Linked DNA regions of Schizosaccharomyces pombe. Changing the gene in region 1 together with any one later gene gives a genetic interaction. Each region holds a gene or a part of one and is shown on either strand. Other genes may lie near its edges.

The links. A genetic interaction does not mean that the proteins touch.
Region 2: mutations in sol1 (region 1) and bud32 together harm fitness more than expected from each alone (negative genetic interaction), as found in Schizosaccharomyces pombe (one large-scale study listed by BioGRID).

What each region holds. Positions count from the first base shown.
Region 1 is NC_003423.3:1,310,146-1,313,905, forward strand, and holds the start of sol1 (SWI/SNF complex subunit Sol1), read right to left. Parts: upstream 1,658-3,760; 5' UTR 1,580-1,657; coding exon 1-1,579. Other genes in the region: karyopherin/importin beta family nuclear export signal receptor Kap109, read left to right, coding at 3,086-3,143, 3,193-3,760.
Region 2 is NC_003424.3:1,619,820-1,622,950, reverse strand, and holds bud32 (serine/threonine protein kinase), read left to right. Parts: upstream 1-1,658; 5' UTR 1,659-1,688; coding exon 1,689-2,294; exon of another isoform or gene 2,295-2,342; coding exon 2,343-2,453; 3' UTR 2,454-2,583; downstream 2,584-3,131. Other genes in the region: protein meu32, read left to right, coding at 84-705, 756-1,312; vas2 (AP-1 adaptor complex sigma subunit Aps1), read left to right, coding at 2,820-2,982, 3,036-3,131.

The DNA of each region.
Region 1 (3,760 bases):
AATTTGAAAAGTCTTCTCTGGAGAACTGCGATATCTCTACGCAACAATTGTAAAGAAGTTGTCTATAAGAAGGACGTTTATCGGCGATTTCCATTAAATCCTCATTAGGAAGAACAGATAGCAGATTATCAAGGCACTGAGTTGCAACGTCAATCAACGCATCAACTACATCCTGGCACTCACTTAACGGAAACATCCATTTTTGATCATTTGTTAATATAAGTAAAACGTTCATTGCATACGTTATTTCTTTTTCCAAAGTAGATTGCAGGCTCATGCACAAGGCTTGAATGTTTACAGTCCCCAGATCTACGATTGAAGGCATCTGAAGCCGAAGCAAAGATTCATCGAGCCTATACGTGGCCGCGACATTCAAGGGATAACCCAACATAGGATCGATGGGCTTTTTTATCGGTTGATAAGCAACGGGTTCGGCAGAATCAACAGGAGCTGCCGAAGAAGAAGTTTGAACGGTGGGCGGAGTGGGTCGAGTCGGAGCAGAAGGGTATGGTGGAGCATTTCTTTCAGAACTAACTGTGGTAGGAGCAGCTGGAGAGAAACGATTAGCGGTGAATGCTGGGGAGGGTGACTTTGAGTGAAGTGATCCATGCATAGAACCATTGGCATGTACAGCTTCTGGGGTGGTTTGGACCGGCTTTTGTGGATAGTTTTTTGGTCTGCTTTGAACATTCGCAGAATGATTAGCTTTTGCTTGTTGAAGTGATTTTTGTTGCTGTTGAGCAGCAAGCCATGCTTCTTCATATGGAAGCAGATAGGAATTGTAATATTGAATTAGAAGGGAAATAGCATCAGGAGATGGAAACCCCAAGGAAGCAGAAATTTTTGGCCAAAAATTATGAGCTGAGACTTGTCGAGATCCACCGGCACGCATAACCAAGGCGTACAGCATCATTAAATTAATAGGCGTATTATTTATTTGAGGATAAGATTTGATTGGCGTCCCCCGCTTTTCCATAAAAGAAATAAGGCTAACCATGAATTTGTCAAAACTAGCAGCATAAGCAGGCGTTAGTTGATTAGCATTACCAGAGGGAGTATTTGGGGAAGGTGCAGGTTGAGGAGTTTGTCTTACAGCTGGGTGGGCATTGATGCCAATTTGATTAGGAGGAATTTGTTGAGAGAGTAAGGCCTCTCTGCTTTGCATTTGTCGTTGATAAAGTTGTTGCTGCTGTTGCTGTTGTTGTTGCTGCTGCATTGCAGCCTCTTTTTCTTGTTGAAACGGGATCCGACTTGAAGGCATCATGGGACTAGAGTATTTCACAGATCCAGAGCCATTCCATGCACCGTTAGAGGCGAAATCAAATGATTGATTTGGCAAATTACGTTGAGTTGATGGAGATTGTCGGAAGGGCTGTGAATGAGCCAAATTGTTAGGCTCATTCTCGGAAGTATTCATCATGTTTGCATTTCCATATTCTGCTGCATACATCCCTTGGCTTGTCGAAAAGCGTTGAGGATACGCAGGTTGTTCTTCCTGAGTATTATAACTTTGACCTTGCGTGGGATATGATACTGCGGTTGGATAATCACTCGCAGGAACAAACCCTTGATTATTCATGATTCCTCATACTAAATCAAACAAAGAGTAAAGGGACCTTAAAATACACGTTTCAATATATTAACGTCTAAGGCGCTTGGCAGCTGAAAGTGCTTGAAAAGCAGACGAAGTGCATATAACGAGTTGTTTAGTGCTGCCTTTAAGAACCTAATCTGTGTGTTTCAGAAAATGCTTAAATTCCTAAAAAATCTTTACACTCATTCCTTTAAATCTCGCAAACGTGATTTCTTGCCTTTGCAGTGTCTCTTATTTCCAAGTCAATGACAATTGTTAGCATTGGGAAGCATTTATCGATTAGTCAGGTATCTAAAATTTTAAAAACAAAATAATATCTTATTCCTCTTGTAATAGAAACAATATTTATTAACTTGCTCTGTTAGTAGACTTGGCGAAACTGTAAACAATCACGAGTACAACATCTTCTTCTTGCGGAAACAGATATTTTTTTAATAAATTATTTTTTTTTTTTTTAAAATAGTAAAAGCATATGAGTTAACATATTCGAGATCCCGTTATCCTCCTTTTCTTTCTTTTTTTTTTTTTTTTTTTTTTGAAAGGAGCAATCAAAATTGACACATTAATTCAAATTTATCTGGTCTAACCTTTTTTTTATTTTTTATTCATTATTTTTCCTTCTTTCTTTCTGGCTACATAAGACTCGACGCAATGTCATTTTATAAATTTCATTGTTTTCTATAAACGTGCTTTCATATGTGTAAACCTATTGATGAATGAAACAAGATAGTAGAATATGGTAATTTCTATTATCAAGCAATTGGATTTAGGTTGTTGAACTCTATGGACAAGGGCTTGTACGTGTAAAATATATATGTTTATGACTTAATTATTTACTTTTGCAAATCTATGGTTTCAAGTCAACTCGCAAAAGGAATATCCGATTCAAGAAGGAAAAAAACTAAATACTACAATAAAAAAAGGTTTGTAGTATTTGAGATAAAGATGGAGATGCTATATTGCACATGTAGAATTTGATGGCATAAACAAGAATTAGATTTGAAACAAAAGTCAACTAACACAACTTTCAAGTCCACGTATAAAGCGATTTCTATTCTGACGGTTCATAAAATGTTTAATGAGCTTGCAAACTAAAACCAAGTAATTCGGAAATTAGGTATTTACAAGCTGATAATTAAAATGTGAACCCTTGAATTATTGATAATGAATTATAGATTTTATTAGTTTTAATTCCTTTTTTAAGTAATTTATCAAGTATAGTCCAACTATTTATTTACAAATATTGGTATATTAGGGTGTTTTAATAGAAAAAAAAACAAAAATTAAGCGAAGAAAAGTATTACATTAACAAGCCTGAAAAAGAAGCAAACAAACTAATTAAAAGATGTTAACTATATCAAACTTAAGAGAAAATTATTTAATAAATAAAACCGGAATTAAAAATTCTCTATAACGATGTTAGAGAAATTGTTCTAGTTACGTCGGTGTCCTTCAAAATCTGCCCTTAACCACAATCCCTGTAGGAAAACTATGGATGACATTCCAACTCTTCTTGCGAGAACATTAAACCCTACGACTTCCAAAAGTGGTAAGATACCCCAACAGAGTGGATAAAGCAAATTTACTAACTGATATAGCTGAGGAAGCACTGAAAGTATGGGAATTACAAGATAGTTCTTTTGCACTAAAACTCCTCAATATTGTCGCTGAGGATACAGTAGACATCAATATTAAGCTGGCCGCTTCATTGTATTTCAAAAATTACATTAAAAAACATTGGGATTCTGAGGAAGGTGCTTCTATTCGTATCAGCGATGAGGTGGCAGAATTGATCAAACGCGAAATAATCAACTTGATGCTGAAAAGTACTACCATTATTCAAGTTCAGCTAGGTGAAGTAATTGGTTATATTGCCAACTTTGATTTCCCTGATCGGTGGGACACTCTTCTCCCCGATCTGATATCTAAATTGTCTGCTGTTGACATGAACACGAATATTGCTGTACTTTCTACTGCACATGCGATTTTTAAGCGCTGGAGACCTTTATTCCGTAGCGATGCACTTTTTTTGGAGATCAAATATGTGTTGGATCGTTTTTGCGAACCATTTCTCGCTCTCTTCGTGCAAACCAACAACTTATTGCGTAACGGTCCACAAGATGCAGAGTCTCTTAACAGTTTATTTCAGGTTATCCTTTTGGAGTG
Region 2 (3,131 bases), on another chromosome or scaffold:
AGTATTTAAATTAGCTCACTTCATTACCGCGTATTTCATGCATCCAAAGAAATAAAGCAAACCACCACAAATTACAGATAAAAATGGAAGTTTACTTATCTGAGTTTATCAATTGGAAATTGTATGAATTCAAAAAAATTAACGAGTTAGGGACAAGTACATTTAGATACTATTTTAAGGGAAAGATAGTTAATTTAAAAAATAAGCGTGTCTCATCCAACGAGGTTTGTTATATGTTTAAACTTATGGATGATACTGGAATTGTTGAATTGAACTATAGTTTATCCAAGTATTCGCCAAAATTTGAAATGCTGAGACAGTTACAACTCGGCATTTCAGTTTTCGTCTATAGCGACGTAGTCTGTCGTGTTTCTGGGATAAGAGCTTGGAAACTACAGATTCATTCCAAAAATTTGGAAAGCAAGATTGAAGCTACAATTTCTGAACCAGAGCAAATACCATGTCCTGGGTTTGGTAGCGACAATATTGTTCCGCTGTCACTAGTGAATGACTTTAAAGATGGGGCGTTCGTCAATGTATTAGTTGCAATACAGTGGAAAGAAGAATTCGAGATATTTAATAATGAAACAAAAAAATCTCTACCTAAACAAACGATACACGTACACGATATTTCTGGATCAGCCATGATCGTGTTGATAGGAGAGTCCCAAGTTAAATCCGCTCTCAGTTGGAACAATGAAACAAGTATGTAAAGATTTCTATTCAGGTATGTACCTACTCACCAAAATTTTTAGTTTTGTTGATTCATAATGCAATTGCCTACCGAACCAATACCGGAATGCTGGAATTGTCAATTAAAGATGCAATAATTCAAACACTTCAGTCATTTGATGGTAAAGTTTTGAAACTATTAAATTTTTCAATCAAAAGAAAAGAACTTATTAAGATAAATGCTTATAGATTGAGCACCCTAGAGGCTCTTGAAAAAATAGCCAGCCAATCTGGAGAAGCTTTTGGGCAGGTTGGCGTTTTAATAATGCAAAGTAAAATTAAAGATTTAACAAAAGAAGGGGGATTAGTTTATGGCAATGATTTGACAGGTTTGAGATTTGCAGATTTAATAAGCATAATTGTCGATGAAACTGGAAGTGTTAAAAACCCAAAATTTAGTCAAAAGCTTTTGGAAGAAATTACAAATATAGCTCCTACGGAGTTAAGTGTATTGAATGAAGAACAAGCAATGCATCTAGAAAACGTCTTCCTGTATAGACACTATCGAGTTTGTGTTGGTTTTCTGAACAAACAAATTTACGTGTTTTCAAGTGATGAACCCTTAAAATCATACATTTAATTATTAAATTAAATACTCTTAAGTTATTAACATTAACATTAAATCAGCATATTGATTCTGTAAAACCAGACTTGATTTGATATGCAGCAGACACTAATAAACTGAATTAAAAAAAAAAACGAACATATAAGGCTATGATATTAAATGAAGTGTCAACTTTATGCTGTAATTTTTCTTGGATAACTCAATTAATTTTTGTATTACATTTAAATCGTGGGTAAATAACAGAAATTAATCAATTTAAGTCTAAAAAATATTTATTAGTATTTGACAGTTCTTACGATAATTTTCTAAAGACAGTTTAAATTTGTGACATTTTCGGATCTCTAACGCATATTATCATTCCAAATCCCATCTTCATTTACATAACTCTAAAATGTCAGAAAAACCTGACCTTAGGCAAAGATGTTCTGATATATATCGTGAAATAAAGGAAAAGAAATTAACTGTGGTAAAGCAAGGTGCAGAAGCAATCACGATAAAAACCGAGTTTTATCCAGGTGAGGTTTGTCTTTTGAAGTGCCGACCTGCGAAACGATGGAGACATCCTATTTTAGATCAGAAATTATCAAGAAAACGCTGCTTAGTGGAAGCAAGACTTTTAGCAAAATGTCATTACGTTGGAATAAAATGTCCCATGCTGTACTTTATAGATGCCAATCGTGGTCAAATATATATGGAATGGATTGATGGACCTTGTGTACGAGATTATATTCGAGAGATCTGCGAATGTGAGATTGAAAAAAAACTTATTCCTTTAATGAAGCGAATAGGATCAGAAGTTGCGAAGATGCATAAGAATGATATCGTTCATGGAGATTTGACAACTAGTAATATGATGCTGGAGTCTCACAACAATCCGGTCCCAATTTTTATTGATTTCGGTTTAGGAAGCGTTTCCGAATCTGAGGAAGATAAAGCTGTGGATATTTACGTCCTAGAGAGAGCTTTATCAAGTACTTTACCAGAAAGCGAATCTTTGGTATGTTAACTATTAGACTTAAAGCACTTAAATTCTAACTGTTTGAAGTTTCATCATGTTTTAGACTCTTATGCCCAAAGTTGGAAACAATCTAAGGCAACACTTCGAAGATTTGAAGAAGTACGAATGCGTGGCCGTAAACGTACCATGATAGGATGATGTTCTAAATACTAGTCTCTAGAAAATTTTTTATAAAAAATCTTTCATTTATTGTTTAGTCTTTATGGTATCCTTCATATGGTTTAATTAGTCTATGGACCTTTTGCCGATGCCCTATGTATTTAGTTGCTTTAGAGTTGGCACACGCACTACCTAACTACCGCTATCAACACCAAGCAATAGTGAGCGTTAAGTCAATCTTGGCAGTCAACGTTAGATAACTGTTTTGTTTCTGATTATTTATTACCTTTTTTTTGTAACCTTTATGAGCTTTCGTCCATAGCGGTTACGAATTGAAACATCGTTTACCTTATAGTGTCAATCCCCTTTAAAGCAGCGTATAAGCATTTAATAAGCTTTTATAAGATGTCTATAAAGTTCTTTCTACTCGTAAGCCGCCAGGGAAAGGTGCGTTTAGCTAAATGGTTCAATACTTTGTCAATCAAGGAGAGAGCCAAAATAATCCGTGATGTTTCTTCACTGGTGATTACACGAAAACCAAAAATGTGCAATTTTGTTGAATATAAAGGTAAAAAAATTGGTATTTTTATTCAAAATATGAATTAACTGTATTTGTCTTAGGCGAAAAAATTGTTTACCGACGATATGCTTCCTTGTTTTTTGTTTGTGGAATTGAACAGGATGATAATGAGTTAATTATATTAGAAGTCATCCATA